Linked DNA regions of Mus musculus. The protein of the gene in region 1 binds, or shares a complex with, the protein of each later gene. Links are inferred from orthologs where the notes say so. Each region holds a gene or a part of one and is shown in the gene's direction. Other genes may lie near its edges. The genes, in order: Pcna, Rnaseh2b, Cdkn1a, Pold3, Pold4, Mcm7 and Fen1.

What was found.
Region 2: the proteins of Pcna (region 1) and Rnaseh2b are in contact, whole or in part, in a crystal structure (PDB 3P87), measured with the Homo sapiens proteins. The link is inferred for Mus musculus from reciprocal best matches to the Homo sapiens genes PCNA and RNASEH2B. Residues at the interface, in NP_002583.1 of Homo sapiens: Met40, His44, Val45, Ser46, Leu47, Glu124, Leu126, Gly127, Ile128, Pro129, Phe207, Ala208, Asp232, Val233, Pro234, Tyr250, Leu251, Ala252, Pro253, Lys254, Ile255, Glu256; in NP_078846.2 of Homo sapiens: Asp290, Ser292, Gly293, Met294, Lys295, Ser296, Ile297, Asp298, Phe300, Phe301.
Region 3: the proteins of Pcna (region 1) and Cdkn1a are in contact, whole or in part, in a crystal structure (PDB 1AXC), measured with the Homo sapiens proteins. The link is inferred for Mus musculus from reciprocal best matches to the Homo sapiens genes PCNA and CDKN1A. Residues at the interface, in NP_002583.1 of Homo sapiens: Cys27, Asp29, Met40, Ser43, His44, Val45, Ser46, Leu47, Ala67, Met68, Gly69, Ala96, Asp97, Leu118, Met119, Asp120, Leu121, Asp122, Val123, Glu124, Gln125, Leu126, Gly127, Ile128, Pro129, Gln131, Tyr133, Ala208, Asp232, Val233; in NP_000380.1 of Homo sapiens: Arg143, Gln144, Thr145, Ser146, Met147, Thr148, Phe150, Tyr151, His152, Ser153, Lys154, Arg155, Arg156, Leu157, Ile158, Phe159, Ser160.
Region 4: the proteins of Pcna (region 1) and Pold3 are in contact, whole or in part, in a crystal structure (PDB 1U76), measured with the Homo sapiens proteins. The link is inferred for Mus musculus from reciprocal best matches to the Homo sapiens genes PCNA and POLD3. Residues at the interface, in NP_002583.1 of Homo sapiens: Met40, His44, Val45, Ser46, Leu47, Glu124, Gln125, Leu126, Gly127, Ile128, Pro129, Thr206, Ala208, Asp232, Val233, Pro234, Tyr250, Ala252, Pro253, Lys254, Ile255, Glu256, Asp257; in NP_006582.1 of Homo sapiens: Ala453, Asn454, Arg455, Gln456, Val457, Ser458, Ile459, Thr460, Phe462, Phe463, Gln464, Arg465.
Region 5: the proteins of Pcna (region 1) and Pold4 are in contact, whole or in part, in a crystal structure (PDB 6HVO), measured with the Homo sapiens proteins. The link is inferred for Mus musculus from reciprocal best matches to the Homo sapiens genes PCNA and POLD4. Residues at the interface, in NP_002583.1 of Homo sapiens: Met40, Ser43, His44, Val45, Ser46, Leu47, Val123, Glu124, Gln125, Leu126, Gly127, Ile128, Pro129, Gln131, Tyr133, Asp232, Val233, Pro234, Tyr250, Leu251, Ala252, Pro253, Lys254, Ile255; in NP_066996.3 of Homo sapiens: Lys4, Arg5, Leu6, Ile7, Thr8, Ser10, Tyr11, Pro12, Val13, Val14, Lys15.
Region 6: Pcna (region 1) and Mcm7 share a complex: the UniProt entries of both Homo sapiens proteins name them as parts of the replisome complex. The link is inferred for Mus musculus from reciprocal best matches to the Homo sapiens genes PCNA and MCM7.
Region 7: the proteins of Pcna (region 1) and Fen1 are in contact, whole or in part, in a crystal structure (PDB 1UL1), measured with the Homo sapiens proteins. The link is inferred for Mus musculus from reciprocal best matches to the Homo sapiens genes PCNA and FEN1. Residues at the interface, in NP_002583.1 of Homo sapiens: Cys27, Asp29, Met40, His44, Val45, Ser46, Leu47, Ala67, Met68, Gly69, Asn95, Ala96, Asp97, Leu118, Met119, Asp120, Leu121, Asp122, Val123, Glu124, Gln125, Leu126, Gly127, Ile128, Pro129, Glu130, Gln131, Glu132, Glu201, Pro202; in NP_004102.1 of Homo sapiens: Arg19, Phe27, Gly28, Arg29, Lys30, Lys80, Val167, Lys168, Ala169, Gly170, Pro188, His208, Ser210, Arg211, Leu296, Lys297, Trp298, Ser299, Glu300, Arg332, Ser335, Thr336, Gln337, Gly338, Arg339, Leu340, Asp341, Phe343, Phe344, Lys345.

Annotation. Positions count from the first base shown.
Region 1 is NC_000068.7:132,250,381-132,254,500, reverse strand, and holds the start of Pcna (proliferating cell nuclear antigen), read left to right. Parts: upstream 1-1,320; 5' UTR 1,321-1,464; coding exon 1,465-1,685; intron 1,686-2,500; coding exon 2,501-2,598; intron 2,599-2,742; coding exon 2,743-2,810; intron 2,811-3,062; coding exon 3,063-3,257; intron 3,258-4,120. UniProt on the Homo sapiens protein: Auxiliary protein of DNA polymerase delta and epsilon, is involved in the control of eukaryotic DNA replication by increasing the polymerase's processibility during elongation of the leading strand.
Region 2 is NC_000080.6:62,370,068-62,373,496, forward strand, and holds the end of Rnaseh2b (ribonuclease H2 subunit B), read left to right. Parts: intron 1-404; coding exon 405-485; intron 486-2,292; coding exon 2,293-2,406; 3' UTR 2,407-2,929; downstream 2,930-3,429. UniProt on the Homo sapiens protein: Non catalytic subunit of RNase H2, an endonuclease that specifically degrades the RNA of RNA:DNA hybrids. Participates in DNA replication, possibly by mediating the removal of lagging-strand Okazaki fragment RNA primers during DNA replication.
Region 3 is NC_000083.6:29,092,486-29,096,568, forward strand, and holds the start of Cdkn1a (cyclin-dependent kinase inhibitor 1), read left to right. Parts: upstream 1-1,283; 5' UTR 1,284-1,376; intron 1,377-4,083. UniProt on the Homo sapiens protein: Plays an important role in controlling cell cycle progression and DNA damage-induced G2 arrest. Involved in p53/TP53 mediated inhibition of cellular proliferation in response to DNA damage.
Region 4 is NC_000073.6:100,111,501-100,115,000, reverse strand, and holds part of Pold3 (DNA polymerase delta subunit 3), read left to right. Parts: intron 1-2,628; coding exon 2,629-2,731; intron 2,732-3,500. UniProt on the Homo sapiens protein: Accessory component of both the DNA polymerase delta complex and the DNA polymerase zeta complex.
Region 5 is NC_000085.6:4,230,501-4,234,134, forward strand, and holds Pold4 (DNA polymerase delta subunit 4), read left to right. Parts: upstream 1-1,392; 5' UTR 1,393-1,591; coding exon 1,592-1,688; intron 1,689-1,914; exon of another isoform or gene 1,915-1,962; coding exon 1,963-2,052; intron 2,053-2,247; coding exon 2,248-2,359; intron 2,360-2,713; coding exon 2,714-2,738; 3' UTR 2,739-3,134; downstream 3,135-3,634. UniProt on the Homo sapiens protein: As a component of the tetrameric DNA polymerase delta complex (Pol-delta4), plays a role in high fidelity genome replication and repair.
Region 6 is NC_000071.6:138,169,084-138,173,246, reverse strand, and holds the start of Mcm7 (DNA replication licensing factor MCM7), read left to right. Parts: upstream 1-1,363; 5' UTR 1,364-1,490; coding exon 1,491-1,521; intron 1,522-1,980; exon of another isoform or gene 1,981-2,437; intron 2,438-2,850; coding exon 2,851-2,930; intron 2,931-3,522; coding exon 3,523-3,687; intron 3,688-3,773; coding exon 3,774-3,898; intron 3,899-3,968; coding exon 3,969-4,149; intron 4,150-4,163. Other genes in the region: Ap4m1 (AP-4 complex subunit mu-1), read right to left, coding at 179-275, 354-460, 768-898, 999-1,056. UniProt on the Homo sapiens protein: Acts as a component of the MCM2-7 complex (MCM complex) which is the replicative helicase essential for 'once per cell cycle' DNA replication initiation and elongation in eukaryotic cells.
Region 7 is NC_000085.6:10,198,632-10,201,393, reverse strand, and holds the end of Fen1 (flap endonuclease 1), read left to right. Parts: intron 1-296; 5' UTR 297-315; coding exon 316-1,458; 3' UTR 1,459-2,262; downstream 2,263-2,762. UniProt on the Homo sapiens protein: Structure-specific nuclease with 5'-flap endonuclease and 5'-3' exonuclease activities involved in DNA replication and repair.

The DNA of each region.
Region 1 (4,120 bases):
ATAGCTCAATAAGTTATACAGTTTTCTGGCTAAATCCCCAAGCCAGGAAAAGAAAAATCAAACAAGACAAACTAAAGGGAAATGCAGTGAATAAGGAAAGAATAAATGAACATGAAATGGAATTAATATGCTCCTATGTAAACTTTTTCCCCTTTGGTCAGTCTTGGTAGATAGTCCAAGGTGAGTTTAAATCTAGGCCCTCCGACCTCAGCCTTCCCATGTGCTGGAATTATAATCACTAATCACTCTCACCAGCTAAAACGGTCCTTTTAACTTTCTGAAATTGTATATACCTTATTAGTGAAAAGCAAACAAACAAAAAACCCTTACACACATAAATAAAACATCACACACCAAAAGCTTTCTTCACAACTCAACCAACTTCTATACAGTTAGAAGAGGCATTCCAAATGGAAACTATCAAGTTTCACATTAAAGTATTACACTTTCATTATCAAATATATTTTACCTACCACCAAAACCAAAAGAAAAAAACATGAGAAATTGAAAAACTCTATATCCTTTTGTAAATGATGTTAATCTACCTGCAGTCAGTTCTTCCCCATCCTCATAATCAATAGGAAAAACAAAAAAACAAAAAAACTTTAGTAGAACAAAATGCTGCAGCCCAGGGACATATGAAAGACGCTCCACCTGCAACAGCTAACATTTTCAGGATGGGGCTCAGGCTCGGGTTCATCTTCAGCCTAAAATTAAGATGAAAATACTAGTAATATCTACCTTTAGAAAAATGTAGAGAACCAGACATAAAAGGAAAATAATTACGTGATACATATGGACTTGGTATCTTCTTTGGAGAAGCGTTCACGTTAAGAGGTATTTTTTTAGTCTTTAGAGAGAAAAGTTCAGAGCGACGCACACAGAAAAGTGATATGAAATGGGGGGGGGGGTAGGGGTGTTAAAATATGGTGGCCTCTTTATTACTCGATATTTTGCAGCGTATTTCTTACGTTAGGGAAAACGCTCCGTAGTGTTTAAAATACTCTCCAGCTTCAAGGCAGGCCGCCGCGCACAGCTCGATTTGCCTGTGACTTCCACTTCCGTGGCGCGGAAACTTCCTAAGGATGGAAACTGCAGCCTAAACTCCCACAAACTTGGGCGGTGACGACAGCCTACGCGAACCCCGTGATGCCCCTCGCCTCCCAGGCTCCTACCCCGCAGCCCCGCCTTTGCATACGCGGTGGGGCGGGCCTTGCTCAAACCACGGGTACGATTGGTCCTTGAGGAGAGGTGGGTGGATCAGCGCTGTGGCGTCATGACCTCGCGCAGGGAAAAGGCGCGCGCCTAGGAAGCCGCGGCATTAGACGGTTGCGGGCGCAGAGGGTTGGTAGTTGTCGCTGTAGGCCTTCGCTGCCGCTTCTGCATCGTGAATCGGGGGACCTTGGCAGCCAGACCTCGTTCCTCTTAGAGTAGCTCTCATCTAGTCGCCACAACTCCGCCACCATGTTTGAGGCACGCCTGATCCAGGGCTCCATCCTGAAGAAGGTGCTGGAGGCTCTCAAAGACCTCATCAATGAGGCCTGCTGGGACGTCAGCTCGGGCGGCGTGAACCTGCAGAGCATGGACTCGTCTCACGTCTCCTTGGTACAGCTTACTCTGCGCTCCGAAGGCTTCGACACATACCGCTGCGACCGCAACCTAGCCATGGGCGTGAACCTCACCAGGTGAGCGGGTGGCGGGAGCGGGGCCCCACTCTTCCCGCTTCCGCTCTTGGCGGGGCTGTGACTCTGCACGCTCATTGGCTGGCTTGGCCATCCGCGCTTTCTGATTGGTCTATGGTGTCGGGGGCAGCCCTCACCAAAGCGCGCGGTTCCGAAAAGCCCGCGCTGGCAGTGGCGCCCACTCTGTTTCCGCGCCAAAGCCACAAAGCGGGAGTCCGCGGGAAAATGAGTGCTCCGGAGCTGTGCTCATTAAATGCCTGCAGCTTTGAGTGGCTGGTCTTAGCGCCTAATAAACGAGTCTTAGTGCAAATGTAATGTCGACTTAGAGTGACAATAGACCTTTTCTTGACTTCCAGAGTCTCACTGCGCATCATGGATTTGAGGGGAAATCTGTCAGTTTTAGCTTTTAACTTTGCTACAGCTACCTAGGTTAGTGCCTCCTGTATACGTGTTCAAGGACAGTGTGTGACTTATTTTAGTACAGATACATGGATTAGTGCCACTTGTATACATTTTGAAAGATTTACGAAAAGGCCAGACGTGATGGGGCACATTCTCCAGTACACTAGAAACCAAGGACACCCCGCTCAAAAAGATGCTTTCTCGAATGTTGGCTTTTAGTGCATTTTACTAAGTCGGTTTTAAGAATCACATATACCCGGTAATTTGCTTCACCCCTGAGAGAGTTTGGGGTACCCTTAGCCCCTTTAACAGTTCTCCAACCGTGAGTGTGAAATGGTACAACTTGTAATTGCTTTTTAAAATATAGATGTGGATTACATGTTGATAAAGCCTGTCTTTTTTTTTTTCCCCCCTAGCATGTCCAAAATTCTAAAATGTGCTGGTAATGAAGACATCATTACATTAAGGGCTGAAGATAATGCAGACACCTTAGCACTAGTATTCGAAGCACCAAGTAAGTTAAACACCTTTAAAACTCGGTAGTTACGTGTTGTTTCTGTTTCTCAAAACCAAAAAAAAATATTAACAATATTGTAAAATTTCCATCATAGATAGGACCGTGTGGTGTGCTTTGGTAACATTTTCCTTCTTTTGGTAGATCAAGAGAAAGTTTCAGACTATGAAATGAAGTTAATGGACTTAGATGTGGAGCAACTTGGAATCCCAGTGAGTTACCTTGTTTCTGATTGTGTGTTACCCTGCTGTGATACCAGCTGATGCGTGTTCTGAGTGGAGTGGTGGTATTGGGGATGAATGGCACACTGCCATTTCACTAAACCACAGCAGTCTAAAGTTGATTGAGTTTTAAAGAAACCAGAAGTCTTGCATTCTGAGTTCTGGTTAAGATGCTAAATCTTGAGAACATGAAGCTGAGCCTTCCCCCTTTTCTAGACTGACCTTTAACTTGTGGGTTTACAGGAACAGGAGTACAGCTGTGTAATAAAGATGCCGTCGGGTGAATTTGCACGTATATGCCGAGACCTTAGCCACATTGGAGATGCTGTTGTGATATCCTGTGCAAAGAATGGGGTGAAGTTTTCTGCAAGTGGAGAGCTTGGCAATGGGAACATTAAGTTGTCACAAACAAGTAATGTGGATAAAGAAGAGGAGGCGGTGAGTAGTAAGGGGGCGTCCAGTTAGGTGTCTGAAGCAGGGATGGAGCCTCGGCTTTTGTTTTTATTTATTCATTCATTTTGAGATGGAGTCTTGAGTAGACCAAGCTATCTTAGAGCTCAGAGACGACTCCATAAGCTTTTACAGGTAGCATTTGGAAAGCTAAGTGTACAGCCTTTTGCTTCCTGGAAATACTCTTGGCAAATAAGTGAGGGTTGGCAAGTGAGCAAAAGAAAATGGTTGGGGGTGTATGTAGCTTTATGTGTTGCAGGTTCAAGAGTATTTGCAGTCCCAAGGGAAATAAGAAAGACTTCACAAAATGTGGAAAGAGTTGTATTAAATGCTCTTGACAGTTACATCCATAGAGAAAGCTGGGCATGATGTCTCAAACCCACAACTGTAGTACTCAAAGCTACAGCAGGAAGATTCTCAGCTTAAAGTCAACCTGGCAGAAAATCTAGCTCAAAAAGAATGAGGAAGAAATTGGGAAGGCAAAGGAAGATGTTCTCCGAGTCCTCCTCATTCAAGTAGAACATACTAGGCCTCTTTAATTTCTAAGTATCCCTGAATCGAGGCTTTTTCTCAGGAATCCAATGTATATTTCATGGCTACACTTTTTTTTTTCTTTTTTAAGTTTTGCTAGCTAGCCTGAGCATCAGAATTACACACAGAAGTCTGAACTAAATAGGATTTTTAGGGTTTAGTATAGTGAAATTCAGAGTGCTTACTGCAAGTATTTAAGGTAAATATAAGGTGTTACTTGGCCTCTGCATGAATTTAAAGTAAATGAAAGTGTAAGAATTCGAACATAGATAAACACACAACCCAAGAACTAGTTCTTAACCTTAATCTGCTGAATTATT
Region 2 (3,429 bases), on another chromosome or scaffold:
TGCTGCCCATGTTCAGTAGTGGCCATCAGAGCAGGCCAGGGCTGGAGAGAATGGGTTACGCTTGGCACAGAGCCCCAACAGGGCCTTTTGTCTCCAACTTCTGTGCCTTTTATTTAGCCCCCTCAACTGTACCCACCTAGTCTGTAACTGCTTAGAAGCCCACCGTGCCTGATACATACAAAGTGGGTTTATATCATTGAAGAGCTGCTGGAGCCATGTCGCGTACCTACTCAAGTGTGGCCAGTCATCACCAAGGCTGCATCTTGGAAGAGACATGTGGCTTAGTTCTTGAAGTGCTTGTCAACTGTAAAGGAGTTTGTAAAGTATGGGTCCCAGGGATATGTTTGTTTGAAAGGATGGTGAGAGAATGGGGTCTGATACGCTTCAATGCTCTAACATTGCAGAAACTAAAGTTATCAGATGAGCCTGTAGAAGCCAAAGAAGATTACACTAAGTTTAACACTAAAGACTTGAAGACCGGCAAGGTATGTGTGTCCAGGTGTGGTGGCATGCTGGCAACTCCAGTGGCAGTGTGTCCCCAAGGATGGCTGCACTGTTGACTGCACTTACACGTCTGACCAGGAAAAGTGATCAACTTGCATTTCTAGCAGCATAATTCATTGAGAATAGTTCACAATAGTGAACATGTTAGATTGTGCCAATCTAAGAAAGCCCTGTCAGACAGACTGGGCCTGAATCTTACCCTGTGTCCATAGAACAGTGGATGAGAGGGAAGCAACTTCAATTTTTTTTCAATACTCCTGCCAAGAAGATTCTCAGAAATTAGAGTAAATAAAAAACTTCCCAGTCCCGCCATTCAGCGTTCTCCTGCAGTGTCTGCTGAGTAACTTTTCTTGCTGGGTTTTGTTACACGTATCCTGAGTCACGTGATGCATTTATAACCTAGGTCTTGGCTCTGCCCTTTCATTTAGCATTACATAAGTGTGTACCACTAACCCTCCCTCACTACATGGGGGTGGGACATGGCACACAGTCATGTAATTTTATCACTTCCTGTATTTGGACATTCCGGTTAGTGACCAAGGTTTGTTTATCTGCTCTGACCACTTTATTACCCACGGTGAAAAAGACTCAGAGTTCAGAGTTTCAGGCAATTGAAATAGACAGCTAAAATACTTTCCAGAAAGGCAAGGAAACTAACTCCCAGATGCTGCCAGCGAGTGTCCTTCCTGCATCCGTGCCTGCCCTGAGTGCTACTTTTATTTTTGAAATTTTTGTTTGTCAGGTGAGACATTCCCTTAACTAGAAAGGTCTGTTTTTCCAGGTTGCCCATTGTCTCTTTGCATTTGTACAAACTGTCAGTTGGGACCCTTGCTTGTCTCTGTGTTGTGAAAGCAATGCTTTTCTGTTTGTGAGAATGTATTCCAGATAAAGGCTAGTAACTCTTTTCATGACACATTCAGGGTACAAGAAAATTTCCAGCATATTTTTAGCCATTTTGCTTGTTTTTTTTTTTTTAACAGTTGTAATTATTTTTTTTCCTAAGTTTAGATATATAGTTTACATTTCTGTACAGTTTCCCCATTTTTTCTTCATGCTTGCCCATCCCAAGAAACATTAACTCCCATTTAGATTTTATCAATGCATAATCCTTATATCATTTTTGTTGTTGTTGTGTTGTTTTGTTTGCTTTGTTTTGTTCAATTTTATTCCTTGGGCTTTGATAACAGAAGAAATTCCAATGTAAGTTTTGCCTAAATAGCTCTTTCTCCCAGCATTCTGTGAATTCACAGACTGATTCACAAAGTCATTGTGAATTATTCATCATTGGATGGCTGACACAGGTGGGATGCCACCATTGCTGCCGTGTCTGTTCATCACTGGATGACTGACACAGGTGGGATGCCGCCATTGCTGCCGTGTCTGTTCATCACTGGATGGCTGACACAGGTGGGATGCCACCATTGCTGCCGTGTCTGTTCATCACTGGATGGCTGACACAGGTGGTATGCCACCATTGCTGCCGTGTCTGTTCATCACTGGATGGCTGACACAGGTGGGATGCCACCATTGCTGCCGTGTCTGTATGGTTGTTGCATTTAATGCACCCTCAAAATGATTCCCAGAGGGAACCATCCTTGGAGCATGCAGCTCCTCGGAGTTGGGTATGCTTTCCTCTGCACCCCACTATCACATCTGGATCCTGAGTGGGCAGCAGGGTTGTTTGAGCTCTGCCACTCACGTGCTCATTGAACCAAGATTCAGGCTTGTGTGATTTGCATGTACGATAGTTTACAAATATTGTAAGTCTCTCTTTATTTTTATTAACAGAAAAATAGCAAAATGACTGCAGCTCAGAAGGCTTTGGCTAAAGTTGACAAAAGTGGAATGAAAAGTATCGATGCCTTTTTTGGTGCAAAAAATAAAAAAACTGGAAAGATTTGAAGCATCGAAAATAAAATCCAGTGAAGCAGAAACAGAAACTTGCCTCTTGCCTATTCTGTCTTGTCTCTTCTTGCCGCTGCCCCGACCTCCCAGACCCTAAGTCACTACGCTGAGAATCAAGGTACTTTCGCATCCTGCAGACACTTGCTGCGCTGTGACTTTGTGTCTGACAAACACAACCATTGTGGGAAAGTGATTGTGTGAACTGCTGTCCGGGGACTTTGGGACCTTTGCCATAATGAAAAGCCATCAAGTGCATGGGTCACCGAGTCACAGCTTCCCCAGGGAGGTGTGAGCATTGCCCAGGTGTTCCCTGCTCTGTCCTGCATGGCTTCAGCTGAAATGAGCTGGACAACAAAACCACACATTTTGGTAAATTTTATAATTAGCCATATCTTCGTATGAATTCATGTTCTTTGTAAAAATAAAAATCAATAAAACAAAATTGCAATCTTGCCCCTTTCCATTATGCAGGTACAACCAGGTAATTTTCTTAGAATAAAAACATTTTCAAGAGCTTTAATCATAGTTTTGTTGCTTTTTGGAGACTTTCGTTTTGTGAGCATTTCCCCAGCATTTCTCCAGGGTGTTCACAGACCAGCTTGTGAAGGCCTGGGCTGCGTGAGGCTCAGGTGGGGAGTGGTGTGGGGTGCTTGCCTTTTACGCTTGCAGTCCTAGATGCAGTCCCCAGTACTGCCAAAAATAAATACACGAATGCTTTTTAAAATAACAGTATAATTTTTAAGTATTTGGATATTTAATTATTGAATGACATTTTCCTGTACAACTCCTGCACTTAAGACTCAGGGGTCATGAGGAAGAGGGGGCAGAAAGGTTGTAAGAGCCAGAAGAGCAGGGCTCTGCTCTGAGATTTTAGCAGAAATATCTCGATATCAGTTATAAGGGTTGAAAAGGTTAAAGTCTCCTTGCATTCCTAGATTAAGCCGGATTGGATTGTGTTTATTCTTTCTACACATAGTACTAGGTCTTACTTTCTAATATTGCTGCAGCTTTTTATATCCC
Region 3 (4,083 bases), on another chromosome or scaffold:
AAGGAAATAAAACTGACTAGAGACATGGAGGAAGGTGGGAACGGAGAATGTCTTACTGCTATGTCTGTCAGGAACATCCGTAGATGTTTCTAGAATTGTCCTTTATCAATGTCATTTTAGTGGACTGTCTGGATCTTGGGAGGGGGAGTATTAGACATTTCCCTCATTTTGGACCCAGAGAAAGAAATCTGCAAGCAGAGTACTCTGGGCAGCTTGCCAGAGGTCAGCAGGTAGCCATTAGTGTGGTCCCAGTCAGGTCTTGATGCTCTCACTTGCAGGATGTATTATGGTGTGAGAAATGTTCACATGCTGGCTTCTGAAGAGGGGAGAGGGGAGGTAAGGAGCCTGGCGGCTGTTTTTCTTGGTAGTCCGTGGTCTGAGAACTGGACTCAATCTCCCCGATTTCTGAGGCGGTTGACAGCATCCTTTCCTTCTGTGGAACTGCTTTCCTCGTCTGTGAGACAGGGAGGAAATGATCGCGTTCTGGACCCGATGTCCGAGGGGCTTCTGGGAGGAGGGGGAAAAAAATCTCCAGACATAGTGGGACTTCTTGGGATTTTAAACTATTTTTTATTATTTATGGGCTTGTTTTGTTTTTGAGAGGGTCTCAATGGATAGCCCAGGCTGGTCTTGAACCTGTAACGCCCCTCGTGCCTCAATCTCCCAAGTATAGGATTCCAGGCTTTTGCTATCATACTCAAATGATCAATTTATTTATATTTGAAACAGTGTCACATATTTCAAGTTGGTCTCCATCGGAATAGGTAGCTGTCAAAACGACCTTGAATGCCTATTTCCCCCTCCTCACCCCCCACTGGGCGCTGTTATTACAGACGTGACCCCGCATGCCCAGTTTATGGGGCCCTGGAGCTCCAACCCAGGGCTTCACTTCCAGCAAGTTAGGCAAACACTGTACCAACAGACCCACCTCCCGAAACCCAGGATTTTATTTACTAATATCAGTGATCTGGAAAAGAGTTAGTCCTTCCCACAGTTGGTCAGGGACAGACCCATAAACACTCACTCAGCTCTAACTGTACTGTTGTTCATAGATGTATGTGGCTCTGCTGGTGCGCTGCGTGACAAGAGAATAGCCCAGGTGTGGGGGAGGGGAGGGCGCGCCCTCTTAACGCGCGCCGGTTCTAGCTGTCTGGCGCGGGCTTAGATTCCCAGAGGGGAGGGCGGGCCAGCGAGTCCCCGGGATCGGTGAAGGAGTGGGTTGGTCCTGCCTCTGAGGGGGCGGGGCCTGGGCCGACGCTATAAGGAGGCAGCTCGACGCCAACTGCAGCAGCCGAGAGGTGTGAGCCGCCGCGGTGTCAGAGTCTAGGGGAATTGGAGTCAGGCGCAGATCCACAGCGATATCCAGACATTCAGAGGTGAGAGCTTCGTGGCAGGGAACAATAGTTCTTCCCCGTAGCAATGCGCTGAGCCCAGTGGGTGTCCCCAGAAGTGTGTGTGTGTGTGTGTGTGTGTGTGTGTGGTGATGAGTGGATCACCTGTGTGTGTATATGTGTATTTGTGCGTGCCCGCCAGAGTCACAGGTGTGTCCGCGGCAGGTGGATGACGGGTGTGGGTCTGAGCGTCCGTGGTGGCTGAAGGCTTCGTTTGTTGGAGTGTGACGAGGGTCAGGCTATGTCGCGGACTCGGCATACAGAGTCTGAACTCCAGGACCACGGATGGCAGCCACTCTTCCAGTCCTTGGAGACCGGGTCCGAGCGATGGCTGGCGGGGATCGGCTACCGGGAGCTCGCTTCTGGTTGCCAATGTTTCTAGGGATTCCAGGTGCGGCTCGCCCAAAGCGTGAGAATGAAGCTCACGGTGCCCCGAGATGGGTCCTGGGTGGCGGTTGTGACAAGCTTCGGCGAGTCTATCTAGAGCTTAGCGCAGAGCGGTTCTCCGATCCCATGGGTGCCGCCGGATCCCCGGTCCTTGTGAACCAAGTGCCCTGTTTCGCGGTAGCCACCACCCCACTGGGCTCTGAGGTCAGCGCGAGCTGTGTCCTCCGCCCTCGGGATCGTGCCTGGGCACGTCCTAGAGGACAGGCGAGGAGGTGACTCATTGTGACAAGGAGACCCCGGGCACTGGATTGAGACCAGAATCGCGCCACAACTGGGGATGGGTCAGTGGCAGCCCAGAAGCCCCTTTCCCTGCCCGGGTACAGCCTCGTTCCTGCCCCGTCCCCTCCCCCGCGCGGCACAGTGACCTATTTGGCGGGCACAGTATGTTCCCAGGGAACCCGGGACACGGGGAGGTCCAGGACGCGGTGTCCGGTCCCCGCTCGGCGGCGCGCCCTCGGGGACAGGGAGTCTGGGCGGGTCCTGTCCACCCTGCCAGCCCGGGAAGCGCAAAGGGTCCCACCCACCGCGCCCACCACGACCCGGACCAGTGACCGTGGGGCGCGAGAGGAGCCCGCACTGTAGAGCGGCCGGTATCCTCGCGGAGTGAGGCTTACGGGTGCCGTACATCAGACGCCCCGGGGCTGGGGCCCTCGACCCAGTCCACACCCAGTGTAGGAAGGTGACCAGGCTGAGTGCGCCCACTAGGGCACATCCATTCCACTCGGAACCTCCGGGGACAAGGGCTACACTTGCACCCTGGTCGTGCGGGAAATACTTTGGGCTTGGGTTTGGCATTTGGGGGCGCGCTGGCAGCTTCCTCTGTCCCCTACGTCGCGTTTCAGAGAGGACACTCAGGCGGTTTTTTGTTGTCCTCGCCCTCATCTATTTTTATTTTCCAGGGATCTGACTCATCGCGTGCTTTGGGCGTGGAGATCAAGGTGGAGGGGGCCAGAGCTAAGAGCACTTTCTTTGCTCTCGAGTGTCCGTGCGTGCGTGTGTGCGTGCGTGCGTATGTGTGTGTGTGTGTGTGTCTGTGTACGTGCGTGTGTGTGTGTGTGTGTATGCGTGCGCGCGCGCGCGCTCAGTCTGGTTTCCCAACATAGGCGGGAATTTAGGAAGCCTGGGCTCATCGTGACGTGTTTTGTGGCCCGGGGTCCCCCTCCTTTCCTCTCCTCTCTCCACCCCAGGGTGACGCGCAGCTCCGGTGCCCAAGCAGTTTTGGCGGGCGGGCAGCGCCGGGCAGGAAACTGACTCACCACTCCTTGCTCGGCCTACGCGCCGCCTACCGAGCGCCATTTCCTGAGTGCACAGCGCCCCCTACCGGCATCAGTGAGGACTGCAAGGCCGGCTAGGCGCGGGTGGCACCACGGGCTTCTGCCACCCCCACCGCGGCTTAAAGGGAATTAAAATATGCCTGATGGCCAGATACAAGTGATTTTAGCAGGGTGTGCTAGCGGACTATTAGGGAGGCGTGGCCCTTGAGAGACAAGGTGGAGATCGTGCCCCTCTTGGGTTCCTGGTCTTATCTTCAGCTATGAAAAACTGGGGACTATCCAGCCTTAGCCGAGTCCATTGGTGTCTTCCCTTCCTTCCTCTGGCCCCTGTGAGCTACCGTCTGGGGAAGGGCACCAAACTTGTTTTTCGGCTCAGTTTGTCTGGGGAAATGAGCCAATCTATATTTCTATATCTATATAGATCTCTCTCTCTGTCTCTGTGTGTGTGTGAAAGAGAGACAGAGACAGAGAGACAAGCTTACAAAATGGCCCCAGCTACCAGTACTATATAGACAGGCTGGCCCAGTGGCCTGGAACTCATAAGGATCACGTGCCTCTGGTGGAGTGCTGGGATTAAAGACTCTCCCCATAACATGGAGCTCAGTCTATATTTAATAAAAAAGCTTTTCCAGCTGATTTTAATGGAGTCCTCTGGTCATGCCCCTCAAGGTGAGAAGACGAGAGAATGATCAATACTAGACCAAAAGGGTCTGAATTCAAACCCCGCTTGTGAGCCCTGTGCCTTTGGACACACATTCTGAACCTGGATTAGCTCTGCCGTAAAAGAATGTGATATTGCCATCTATTAACGATAGCTTTTGGTGGCTTACAACTGCAATCCCAGCACACTAGAGGCAGAGGCAGGAGGATGACTGAGTTGTACTAAAGGATGTGAATAGGCCCCAAGCTCTACCTGTAGGCAGAGGCCATCTGAGGTCCTTTAGGCCTCTGAGGTCTGCACCTTGAGAATC
Region 4 (3,500 bases), on another chromosome or scaffold:
TTCTTGAGAAAACAAAACAAATTCTTGTTTTTAGTTCTTTTTTTAAAGTATTATTTAACAGACAAGATCCTTCCTCATTGACTTAAACATGACATCTTCAGATTGGAAAAATATTATGGAGGACTAAAATTGGTTTGGTTCCAGGGGAGCTAAAGGAGAGGAAAGTTAAGGGTCTCGGGGAGGTTGTAAGTCATCATGTGCATAGGAAACATTCTGCAGCATGTCAAGGCTTTTCACTCATTTTAAAGAATATTTCACATATATTATTGTCAGAAATGGAGTACTTGCCTTTACTAAATAAGAAACGTGTTAAAGTAGGTATAAATTCCTTTTTAAAAAAGTTTGTTGTAAACTTCTCAGTAAGAAGGGAAATAGATTAAAAAGAAAACAAAACAAAAACAAGTGAGAAGAGAAACTAATATGGGAACAGCTGGGGTTTATTTGGGGAAACCTGTGCAGAAGACAGTGGTTTGCTGACTGACCCAGGCAAGGTCAAGAGCTGTGGAGAAAAGACTAGTTGGCTGACACGCTTGAGAGCATGGTAGACATGGTATTTGCCTTTTTGGTTTTCTATTAGCAGGTCCTAATTAGCATCAACAGTCAAGAGTCCACCCCCTCATCTGCCCTTCTAACGTGGTCTCTGAAGTGGGGAAGATGTGAGAGAGCAAGGCGGAAGAATCCGTAAAACTGACAAATAGTGCACGCTTTGTACTTACGTAACTGGTGGTGTATGGAAAGGCAGCCTTAAAAACCTGTGATAGAGTGTGGTGTAGTAGATGTCAGAATGCATGATAGGGCGTAAGCTGTTAACACTCGGGAGGCAGAGGTGCTCTGCTTGGCTAGCCGTGTCAGAGAGACTTGGAGTAGGAGGAATTAGATGGATGGAACCTATATAGCCCTGCCTGGCCTGGAATTCCCTATGTAAGCCAGGCTGGCCTCAGACTCCCTCCCTAGGATTAAAGGGAGGCAGACAGATGGCTGTGATTCAAGTTCCTACCAATTTTAAGCTTACGCTCTAGGAAAGAAATGGCTGGTCCAGATGGGTAGGAGCCGTGACTCCTTTGTTTACTGCTTAGAACACAAGTGGGCACTCAGGAACGTTTTGATTCGTTTTTTTAATCTATTGACTTTTTTTTTTTTTTTTTTTTTTTACTGACTTGCATTTTAAAACTTCACTATGACAGCCTCACAGATAATGATGGTGAAAAGAGAATACAGGTGACCCTTGGACTTGAAATAGTCTAGTATAGCGTGTTGGAGAGCATAGAGTCCAGTCAAGAGTTAGTTGGGAGGGAGGACTGATGAGACTTGGCAACTCATTGCATAAGGAGAAAGGTAATGACTCCTGGATTTCTGGCTAAGGTGGTTTGAACAAATGATGATGTCATCAGGGAAAAAAAACCGAAGCCATGGAGTTGAATAAAATAGACAATGGAGGATACCACGGGGTGACCAACCATATCCCATTTCCCAGGAAACCTATCTGAGTCAGGCAAACTGGGGTGACTGGTCATACTAAAATAGGGTAAGATGGCTAAGGAGAGGAAAGCACAGAAACTGCAGGAAAAATGGAGCAGGTGTAGCAGGGGACTCGGCTGGGTATCGTGGAAGGTAAGCGAGGGAGGGCGTCTGGAGAAGACAGGGTTTCTTAGGCTTACTGGAGTAAGCCTGGTACTTACTGTGTAGACCAGGCTGGACTTGAACTCACAGAAATCCACCTGCCTCTTCCTCTAGGATAATTAAAGGCCTGTACCACCATACCTAGCTATCAGAATTTCTGAGTTTCTGGCTGTTCTCAACTGAAGTGTGATATGTTGTAGAAGCTTGCTAAATATTTCTTGAAATAAAGACAGATGATGTGCATCTTTTTATTGTTAAACTCCATTGAGGGGCATCAACTTCTGGTATTTTGGGTGGTTGGGATAAAAGTGAATAAAGACTTTACTGCAAGCAACACTTCTGCATTTAGTGTGTGGTTAATGAACATTTTAGATGTTGGCTGGTGTAAGCATCTGCTATATTCTACATCATGAAACATCTGACTGTATGTAATTCAGTAGTAACAGGTGAATATATATTTGTCATGATGTATATGATGACTTGAAGTATTTAACATAATGATCTCATAGAATTACTAAAAACCCCAAATCCTTTCCATCTCTAGGAAAGCACATATAGACTATTGATATTTGAGAATAGAGGCTTGCAGACAGTGTATGACTTCGGGTTATAAGAGTTATTCATGTAGTAATGCCACTTGTGCTTTATGCCTGAAGATAGGAAACCAAGAAAAGTTTATTCTGGATGCCATAGCTCGATAATTGACTCACTTTTGTATCTGCAGTTTGGCCATTGCCACTGTTTGACTATGGGTTCTGTCCCTCTTGGCATATTTCTAGATTTACCTCAGTTACTTCCTGGGTGTCTTAGCCAACTCAGATAAGTTGGTTCCAGTCCCATGCTCCATCTAAAGTTTTTTCATTGTTTTTTCAAAAATCTGTTCAGTAAGTAAAAAATTGTGCTGTTGAAGAAACTGTCAGATTTCATATATATGACTTCCAAGTCATGAATCCGGAGTCGATGAGGAAGCTGCATGCTAATGAGTCACTTCTGTCTTGTTTGGCACAGGATGCTCTATGAATATGTTGAAAGGAAACGGAAAGAAAATTCGGGAGCTCAGCTGCATGTTACCTACTTGGTGTCTGGCAGTCTTATACAGAACGGACATTCTGTAAGTTCTCTTGTAACAAGACTTCATGTTCATGAGATAGAAACATTATTAGAAATAACAGGAGGAAGAAGGAAGAGTGAATGGTATGGAAGTTTTAAAGTACCTCTTAAAGAGAGTGAGTGTTCTGAAATTTTAAACTAAATCTGACAAGAAAGGTTATGTAATATCTTGTCTGTGATGAGGAGACTGTCACTCTTAGTTACCTAGGAAATGAGACATTAGGGAATGGCTTTTCCTTGAACCTCTTTTTCCTTTTGAATACGTATTGTAGACACTGGTACTTAATTTTCATCTTCAAATTTCAAGTCAGATTCCAATGTTAAATAAAAAAGGAGGGAAAAAAATTAGGTGATTTGTAACCTGAGTACTCGTTTTGATAGGTCACTTGGAGTGGCCTGTTGTAAGGCCGAGGCTTAGCTGCTGGTACAGACAGGTGTTTAGGCTCCTGCATTCTTTTCTGTTCTTGCCCCTCTGCATGCCCGCCAGCTCAGGGTACTGTTGCTTTTTTCATCTCAACCACAACGCAGTCTCAGTCCCAGTCTCAGCGCTGGTGCTCTTTTGTTGACTTCCATTGTTTCCCTCGCGGTGGGGAACAGGTATTACTGAGCTCTTCCCAGGCCTTAAGCACCAGAAGCTCTGTTGCCTTGGACTGAATCCAGGGCTCGTTCATAGTTCTTGCACACCGGCTTCCTGTGCAGGTCTTCTCCGTCCTCACTTTCCTTGAGCCTGTCTGAAGACACCTCTGTTTCATTGCCATCAGTCCCAGGAT
Region 5 (3,634 bases), on another chromosome or scaffold:
GCACCCCTGGAAGGAAGAACCGGATGGGCTCTCCAGAGGGTGATTAGTGCTGGGTCAGTCCAAGTGCTGGTTCCCAGACTCCCACGGGCCAGCATTTTCACCCGCTGCCAGGAAGTTGGTGAGGGGGAGGTGGTAGTAGGGGTGAGTCAGTGATGACAGGAGCCCCAAAACAAAGGTCATGGGTAGAGAATTGAGAGACGCTGTTTACAGCAATTACCTCCTGAGGTCTTCTCCCAATGCCTACCATTCTCCTCCAGCTCTAAGGCATTCGTGCTCCTGCTCTCCTGTCCAGGACTAACGACTGTGTATGTCCCTCTCTCTACCGCGCAAGCCTGGGAGCTTCTGCCGCACACGGGAAGCTAGTTAGTTACACAGTAGCTGTTACTAAGAGCACTTCTGCAGCACACGGGAAGCTAGTTAGTTACACAGTAGCTGTTACTAAGAGCACTTCTGCAGCACACGGGAAGCTAGTTAGTTACACAGTAGCTGTTACTAAGAGCACTTCTGCAGCACACGGGAAGCTAGTTAGTTACACAGTAGCTGTTACTAAGAGCACTGATCACAATTTGCCTACACTTCCCACTTGCAAAAAAACTCTTTTGATATCTATTTTGAGTTAGCATGTGGGAGATGCTTAGAACTCGGCACATGGAAAGTCCAATATGAGGGTTGGGTTTATTGAAATTATTTTCTGCTCATGATACACATTCAGAAAAAAACAAAAACAAAAAAACAGAGCAGATCTGTCAGTTAAGAACTGGGGATATGAACCCATGGAGAATGGAGACTATACTTCTGGCGTCCTGCTTGGAATGGAATCTTCCTGACTAGCAAAGTGGACAGAGGCAGGCTGTGGGACTTGACAGCGGCCACAGCAACCGCATGCCTGGGCTGGGTGGACAGTGGCTCTGCCAGCAGACTGTGAGAAAGGAGCCTTCTGAGCTCATGAGTTTCTCCAGCAAGGTCTCCTGGGGCCAGTAAGAGCAGCAGGGAAGGACCTGGACTAGTCCAAACTCTCTTTGGACCTACAGATCTGATCCCACAGCGCTCTAGGGCCAACCGGCAGGAGAAAAAGGTTCTCAGGGGACTTAAAAACTGGCCATGGGGATTAGTGAGGCTGAAAAGAACATTTGCCTAGGAAGGAAAAACGGGAAGTGAGAGGCCGAGGATAACTCTCTATATGTCCCAAGGGACCCAAGTGGACCAATGAGAAACCCGAGGAGGTGGTGAAGTCTGGGGCATCTTGACAGGTTCTTGGTTCCGCCTAACCCCTCCTCACTCGAAACGCAGCAGCAGCTACCCCGCCCCCCGTCTTCTGCCGATTGCCATTGGCTAGAATTAAGGTCCCGCCCCGCAAAGGCCGTTTGCCATTTGCTTAGGTCTCTGATGTTTGCGTGCTTGTGGGGGCGGAAGACAGGCGTCATTCCCTGGAACCTAGGGACTTCCTCTCTCTGCTTGTCTGGGTCAACTTGTCTGTCCATTGCTGGCCCATCTCTCTCTGGCCCCCTCTCTCACTCTCAGCAGCTGTCTCTCACAGGCCCGCTGCCCTGCCTTTTCTTTGCCTCCTGCTCCGCCTGCCTGGGTGGCCGCCATGGGTCGGAAGCGGTTCATCACTGACTCCTATCCTGTTGTGAAGAAGAGGGAGGGGCCCCCTGGGCACAGCAAGGGAGAGCTGGCACCCGAGCTAGGTCTCTAAAATGTGGGGGTGGCAGGAAGAGTGGACATGAAGTGACCAGAAAGGACTCTGTGTGTGTGTGTGTGTGTGTGTGTGTGTGTGTGTGTGTGTGTGTGTGTTGGCTAAAAAGGGAAGCTAGCATGTCTCGCACTTCCGATGAGCTGTCTGTCTGCTGGATGGCAAAGGCAAATGGGTGGGGAGATTGCCAGGATATAGAGTCACAGCTCTAAGTCCAGGGTAGGGCAAAGGCCTGGATGTGCCTGAGGAGCCACCACATGTTATTGCAGGGGAAGACACCCAGTCCCTCAGCCAGGAGGAAACAGAGCTGGAGCTGCTGAGGCAGTTTGACCTGGCCTGGCAGTATGGGCCTTGTACAGGTGAGCACCCCATTTCCAGTCCCTCCCATCAGGCACATCTCTGAATCAGTTCTGTTATCAATGTGTCTCAAAAGTAATCCTGCCTAGCTCTTGGACACTGTCTCCTGAAACTGACTATGGAGGCTCAAGAAACTGCCGTCCATGTCCACTATCCTGGATTCTCCTGCCTATCCTGTCTTCTTTTCCTGATGGCAGGTATCACAAGGCTGCAGCGCTGGAGTCGGGCAGAGCAGATGGGCTTGAAGCCCCCCCTAGAGGTGTACCAAGTGTTGAAGGCACACCCTGAAGACCCTCACTTCCAATGCAGGTCAGGATAGGCTGGGACAGCTTTCAGGGGAACCAGGGACTTCTCCAGGAGCTGCCACCCTCTTGGTCTACGTAGGGGCTACCTTGACTTGGAGAAGTGGGAACAGACTTAGACGGTCCTTCCTGTCAAGCAAGAAGAGTCTGGCTCGAGATAGATCTCGATAATGATCCTTACCTCTATGAGCTGATGGTGGGGGACGGGTATATCTAGGGCCCATGGAGCTATCCATGAGTCCTGAGGTGTTCACCAGAGCCACAGGATTGTAGGCAGTAAGTAAGTAAGAACTAGAGACAGTCCATCAAGGAACAGAACTGATGTGGCTATGACTTCCTTCTCCCACCCTGTCTTCCACAGCCTGTGGCATCTCTACCCACTCTGAGGTACCCCCACGTTGTCCTTCTCTGGGCACCTCCTAGCCACCAAGAACTTCAGGACAGACATCATGGCCTGCTCTGCTCATTCCAACCTTGGAGAAACAGCAGGCTGACTGTGGAGGTCTTCCTGGTTCAGCTTCTTCTCCATCTAAACAGCAGGCTGCTGAAGCTCCTGGGACCTGTGAAGCTGAGCACCTCCACGCCCTAATCATGACCACCAGATGCCCACCCGCCACACCCCTGACCTACGGTGTGGCAAATCCAGCACAGGCTGGCATAAACCAGATGTCGGCAGATAACCTAAAGGGCCCACCTTGGGCATCTAGCTGAGGGCACAGATGAGTGAGTTATTGGATCAAGGAGCTCACTAATGCTTACAATAAAGTACATTAAGCCTGAGATTCTGACCTTACATCTCTTAATATGCTCTAATCTAGCCGGCAGTTCCCAAACTGTAAGTGGGCTGGAGAGCCAGCTACAGGCTTTTTTTTTTTTTTTTTTTTTTTTTTTTTCTTTACTTAGGCTGGCTACAAACTCAGAAATTTGCCTGCCTCTGCTTCCTGAATGCTGAGATTAAAGGGTCCCAATATGGGGCGGGGGACAGTGCTGTGACTGGGATGTAAAGTGATTAATTAATTAACTAATTAATTAATGGGGAAAAGGTTTCACTATGTAGTTCTGTTTGTCCTAGAACTCATTATATAGACCAGGCTGGCTTCTAACTCACAGAAATCTACTTGCCTCTGTCTCCCAAGTGCTGGGGTTAAAGGCTTGTGTTTCTATACCACAAGGCTTCCATATCTATTTTTCTAAGGCAGTCTTTTCAAAAGCTGAGTGGCCTCTGGTATTCCCTGGTAGAAACTCACTCTAAGTTTCCTTCCCTGACCAGCCAGCAGAAAAT
Region 6 (4,163 bases), on another chromosome or scaffold:
ATCTGCATTGACCTAGTGCTTGAGTTATGGTGGATCTATATTGGATTTAGCAGATTCTACAACAAGTAGAAGATACCTGATCTCCACACATGTGCAGTGATGTGGGCAAATACACACACACACACACACACACACGTGAATAAATAAACTTAAAAAGACCAAAGTTTTTGGGCTTTACCAGCACTTCATCCAGGAGTTCGTAGACAAGCGCCACATTGCGTGAGATGGTTCCCTCATTGAGTGAGCCACAGTAGTCACCCAAGAGAGTGGCTAGCCTAAGGAAACACAGCAAATTATGTGTGAATAAACCTCACACGCCCTCCTTCTTAAGTGCCTGTCCCAACTCTACTCACCGGGAAAGCAGCTCCAGAAGGCTGAAAGGAGAGACGTTTTCTAAGGTTGTGGCCACCAAATAGAGCCCACTGTGTCTGATGTGAATAAAATGACGATCACCGTGATACTGAGGCAGAGTTGAGGACAGAGGCCATTAAGAAAAGACCAGAATTGTAGTAAGGAAACCTGCAAGATGGCACCCTGAGGTCTACTAGTGATGGGCGATGCCCCAGATCTAAGACCTGGCCGCCTAACGTGGAAAGGTAGTATCTACCTCTCAAAGTTGTTGATAGTCAAAAAATAGGGTGCATGGCTCTGTAACTGGCTTCTTGTTAGTACTCAAAACATTTATAAACAAATCCTCCCCACACACACACCCCCGCCCCCAAGCTTCCTACCAAGCTGCCCTTGACAGGGAGGAGGCACTCACCCACCTCCACAGTTCTAAGGCCCTGCACACCAACCACAGTAGTTACCATGACAACCGGGGACTCGCCTCCAGGCAGTCCCGTCAGCTTCCGGTAGAAGAGCTCTGCCACATCACGACCACCACTGTCCCCGCGGACTAGCCAGGTGGAAAGATAGTTAAGGAACAGGCGACACAGACTGATCTGGATTCGATTTCTACCCAGCTACCCTACCCCGTCTCCCGGGTCAAAGGATACAGTCTTTATAGATGAGCGGATCCCCCTTGGAAGACAGAATGAAGAACTGGGAAATCATGGCGGTTCTGGAGGATAGACGAGAACACGGTGAAAGTTGAACCCACCCCGCCTTGTGGACGCGGAACAAAAGGCCGCACGGAGGCTGGCGCTTTAAGAAACACTCCTCCCACACACACACTCGCGAGCATTAATTTCGAACCGCGGGAAACAGGGTGTCCAACCCGCCAGGATCTGGCAATCTTTCAACGGCCCGCCCTCAAGCCCCTTGTCATTCAATCTAGACTCGTCCATTGATTGGTTAAAGTTAGGGGCTGGCAGCAGTTGGGAACCCCCTATCTGATTGGCGGGTTCTCAGCCGCACGGGTCACATGGGTGACGACGTTTCGCGCCAATTTCGGTTGGCCGGCTACGTCCCGCCGCGCGTTCGTTTTCTGCTTCCCCAGAGAGAGATTTTTGAGCCCTTCAAGTCCTGCCACACCGTCCCCGGCAGCGATGGCGCTTAAGGACTACGCGATCGAAAAAGGTGAAGATCTATAGGGCTGGGGGCGGCGTCCTCGGAGGGAAACTTCTACCTGCACCTGTTGAGGGGTGCTGGAGTCTTGGGGTCGGGCGGGGGAGGGGGAGTGAGCCGGGATCTGTGACTCCGAGGACAGGCGAACTGCGCCTGCAATAAGCAGTGGGCGTCAAGGATGGAGGAAGCAATCCTCCTTGGAAAAGGTGATGTGTTTGTGTTATGGAGAGAACCCAGTGGAGTCCACAAAGGAGGGGCGCGCTCGGTAGAGACCGGGTGACTTGGTTCAATGCATTCAATACGTGACCCAAGGGACTAGGTTACTGGGCCAGCCTCTGCTGCTCGGGGCGCTAGCGAATTCCCGCGTCCACTGGAGACTGGCCGAAGTCCAGAGGCGGGGCTTGCCAGACCGCTACGCGCCGCGATTGGTTGTTTTCGGCCGCCCTCCAAGCGGAAGTAGAGGCGGGCGGAAGTGGCGCTACCCGATCTTGGGACTGTCGTGTGTAAACAGTGTCCTTCCGCGCGGTGGCCTCGGAGATAGCTGCAGTAGGTAGGGGCGTGCCTAGAATTGGGAGGCTAAGCGCCCGGTGGCGAAAGGTGGCAGTGTGGTGGACCCGAATGGCCCTTTGGCGTTCTGGCCAATCCCCGCTCGGCCACCCGTCTCGGGCGGAGGAATCCTGGGCTGTGAGGCGGCTGGAATCTGGGCCCATGTGCTTCTTTGTTTACTAAGAGCGGAAGCAGTGGCGGGAGCCGGGCATGAGTGCAGAGGAGGCCTAGTGGCGGACGTCCTGGCGGGAGCCTAAGAAAAAGAGTTGTACTGGTAGAGCGAGAGCCGAGGACCTTAAGTCGATTGGGAGCGAGCTGAGAGAATTGAAGAAACTGAGATTCCTAATTAAGACAGAGTGTGGAATTCTCTTGGGAAGGTTGGGTAAGACTCTTGTAGCTGCCCGAAGACCTATATTCTTCTCTGTGTAAAAACGGACTTGTGAAAAGGAACACTGCCTACTTTGGGGAGAACTTGGTCGATTTGTTTTCAATGTTCATTTAACTAACTAGTTCATAGGTTTCGTCTTAAGTGAAAGTGGGTTTCTTAGGTTTCTGTTAAGAGTTTGAAATAAAGAATCTAAAAGGAAAGTTGATTGTTTATTTTATTTATTTTTACATTATTTTGTTACATTATTGTGTGTGTGAGATCGCACGGGCATATCATAGTGCTGGACACCCGCAGGACTCTGTTCTCTTCCAACCTGTGGGTGGGCCCTAGGGATTGAACTCTAGTCCTTGGCAGCAGTGGTCTTTACACCTCACTGCAAAGACTTGGTTTTTATTTTATATTTGTAGAAAAAGTTAAGAAGTTCCTCCAAGAGTTTTATTACGAGAATGAGCTTGGAAAGAAGCAGTTCAAGTATGGGACCCAGTTGGTAAGTCTCAGGATTGGTTCTGGGGAGTGGCGTGGCGTGTTAAGAACTTGTATAAGGTTATCTCAAGTCTGGCTATCAGTGAATGACTTGATTCTGATTGTTTTTATACAAAGTTGGGTTTTTGTTTTGTTTTTAGCTTAAGGGTTTTCTTAGATGTTTTAGTCGTGTTTATTCCTATGTGTTTGTGCTCACAGGGGCATGCCATAGCATGTGTAGAGGTCAAAAGGACAATTTGTGGAAGTCTGTTCTCCCACCATGTGTGTTCTAGAGAGCAAATTCAGATCATCTGGCTAGATGGCTATGTCTAACCTGCTGAGCCACCTCATCCATTCCTAGCTCTTAGTTTTTAGGGGTAGTCTTTGTGTGGCTCAGACCACCATCAAGAACACGCTGTGTAGCTACATAGCTGAGGTTGGCTTTGAGCTCCTCACTCTGTTGCCTTCTGAATCCTAAGTGCTGGGATTATAGACATCTACCACCATGATGTACTGCATTCTGTTCTTTCCCCAGTGGTAGGATAGTGACTTTAGAAGAGCTTTTGTGGGTGAGGTGAACTTGACCCTAAAGTGTTAGCATCTCTTCTTTACCTCAGGTTCATCTGGCTCATCGGGAACAAGTGGCACTGTATGTGGACCTGGATGACATAGCTGAAGATGACCCTGAGTTGGTCGACTCAATTTGCGAGAATGCCAAGCGCTACTCAAGACTGTTTGGTGATGTTGTGCAAGAGCTTTTGCCTGAGTACAAGGAGAAGGAGGTAGGTGGCTGGTTTGTTTCTGAGCTCGTCTGCCTCGTGCCCTGTTTTCTTTCTCTGTCCTGCCTCTCGCCTTTTCTTTCTTTTAGGTGGTGAATAAGGATGTCTTAGATGTTTACATTGAACACCGGCTGATGATGGAGCAGCGAAGCAGAGACCCTGGGGCAGTCCGGAACCCCCAAAACCAGTATCCTTCTGAACTCATGCGAAGATTGTGAGTATCTCTGTGGGAAAGGGCGGGGACTTGCTCTCCGGGGACTTGCTGACAAATGTTTCTCTTTTAGTGAGTTGTATTTCCGAGGCCCAAGTAGCAGCAAGCCTCGAGTGATCCGGGAAGTACGAGCTGACTCTGTGGGGAAATTGTTAACTGTGCGTGGCATTGTCACTCGTGTGTCTGAAGTCAAGCCCAGGATGGTGGTGGCCACATACACTTGTGATCAGTGTGGGGCAGAGACCTACCAGCCAGTACGTATACAATT
Region 7 (2,762 bases), on another chromosome or scaffold:
AGCCAGGGCTACACAAAGAAACCCTGTCTCGGAAAACCAAAAAAAAAAACAAAAACAAAAGAACATCCCAGATCTCATTCCTTGAAGCGCCCAGAACAGCTTCTGATTGTCAGGAGGCCTGCTTGAGAATGGTGGATCTTGTTCACCTTTGCCTCTTCTGCTCTGCTGGCTTGGAGTCCTGCTGTGTCTCATGTTAAGTTTGATGAACCATGAGACTGGTGAATGTTGCCACTTAAAACTTTTGTTCCTTTTGTATCCTCCAAGTTCCTCCTCTTACTCTTCTTTCTTTGTTTTAGCCATTGCTCCTGTGCTACCATGGGAATTCACGGCCTTGCCAAACTAATTGCTGATGTGGCCCCCAGTGCCATCCGTGAGAATGACATCAAGAGCTACTTTGGTCGCAAAGTGGCCATCGATGCCTCCATGAGCATCTACCAGTTCCTGATTGCTGTTCGTCAGGGTGGGGATGTGCTGCAGAACGAGGAGGGTGAGACCACCAGCCACCTGATGGGCATGTTCTACCGTACCATCCGCATGATGGAGAATGGCATCAAGCCTGTGTACGTCTTTGATGGCAAACCACCACAGCTGAAGTCAGGCGAGCTGGCCAAGCGCAGTGAGAGGCGCGCCGAGGCTGAGAAGCAACTGCAGCAGGCTCAGGAGGCTGGGATGGAGGAGGAGGTGGAGAAGTTCACCAAGAGGCTCGTGAAGGTCACCAAGCAACACAATGATGAGTGCAAACACCTGCTGAGCCTCATGGGCATCCCTTACCTTGATGCACCCAGCGAGGCAGAGGCCAGCTGTGCTGCCCTGGCAAAGGCTGGCAAAGTCTATGCTGCGGCCACGGAGGACATGGACTGCCTCACTTTTGGCAGCCCCGTGCTAATGCGACACTTAACTGCCAGTGAGGCCAAGAAGCTGCCCATCCAAGAGTTCCATCTGAGCCGCGTCCTGCAGGAGCTGGGTCTGAACCAGGAGCAGTTTGTGGATCTGTGCATCCTGCTGGGTAGCGACTACTGCGAGAGCATCCGTGGCATTGGGCCCAAGCGGGCTGTGGATCTCATCCAGAAACATAAGAGCATCGAGGAGATCGTGAGGCGGCTGGACCCCAGCAAGTACCCCGTTCCAGAGAACTGGCTCCACAAGGAAGCCCAGCAGCTCTTCCTGGAGCCAGAAGTACTGGACCCAGAGTCTGTGGAGCTGAAGTGGAGCGAGCCAAATGAAGAAGAGTTGGTCAAATTTATGTGTGGTGAAAAGCAGTTTTCTGAAGAGCGAATTCGCAGTGGGGTCAAGCGGCTGAGTAAGAGCCGCCAGGGCAGCACCCAGGGACGCCTCGATGATTTCTTCAAGGTGACAGGCTCACTCTCCTCAGCTAAGCGCAAGGAGCCAGAACCCAAGGGGCCTGCTAAGAAGAAAGCAAAGACTGGGGGAGCGGGGAAGTTCCGAAGGGGAAAATAAACCTGTCCTTCCCCTCCACTGTCCTTGACCCCAGGCTGTCTATCTGTTTTGTACCCTCGGCTGCAGCACATCCCTCTTGTCCCTCGTCTTGAGGAGAGTTCATTGCTTCCCAGCGCTGCCCTTCAGAGCTTTCCCTCTCTTGACCCTGTGGCAGGAAGGCCGTAGCTCTGCTTTTTCTCATTTTTAGCTCAGGAAAGATGTCAGGCTCAAACCACTTCTCAGGTTAATGGACACTGTAGTCATTGTTCTGTGCAACTGCGAGCAATGTCTTAAGGAAGAAGAAGATAAAGCCGGGAGCGAGGCTGGAGATAGTTTCCCAGCTGGCCAGCTGGTGGAGGAGAGGTGACTAGAACCTGACTGACTACTGCTCCTTCTAATTTCACTGTGCCCTGAAAGATGCCCATCAGCCTGGGATTCGCTGATGGAAGAACTGCAAAGAGACGAGCAGAGAGAAGTCTGGCTGACAACAGATTTAGTACTGACCAGCTGATTTTTGTGGGCAGAAATTTGAACTTGCTGCCTGCTGAGTCCAGTAGTTGTGCAGGGAGTGAGATGGCAGTGTTTAAGTTTTGATTTGTAGTTTTTTGTTTTTGTCTCTCCCCTCTCCAGTGTTGGGGATTGACCCCAGGGCAAAGGCATTAAGTGTGCCACTGACCTGTGCCTCCAAGTGATGTTCTGACAGCCTTTCTGAGGCAATCAATTGAATTGAGGTTTTGGGAGAAGAAACTGTTGTTCATAGGCTATTTCTATTTTAAAAGATGTGAAGAGAAAAAAAAAACAATAAAATTATAAAAGTGACCAGAATGTGTCTGAATGTTTGAAAACACCCTGAGTGCCTTAGTTTCCTGTAGAATAAATATAATGGTTTCCTTTCCCCCTCTAAAATCCCCTACAGCCTGGCTGGGATTGCCCTGGTAACAAGTGGTTAGTTTAGGACTGACCACAAGGTGGCGCTGTGCCCATGTAAGGTGGCCACAGCAGCTGTGGTGGCACCAGCCTTTTGTACTTAGGAGTTTGCATAGCTTGACTGGATTTCACACGTTCCACCATCTGTGAGATAAAGGAGTCCCCTGGAACAGTCTTGTAGTTTAGATAAACTATCTTATAACATCCAGCCAGGGCTACACAAATCCTGTCTCCACAAACCTATAAAACAAGTAGGTAAATAAAAGAAGCCTTGTTCTTACTGAGATTTCAGGTGTCCGGGAAGAATGAAAGTTTTTGAGTACTAATACATTTAGGTTTTCCCAGAGAACAACAGAGAATGAGCTATGTATATGTTAAAAGGAAATTCACTAAAGTGG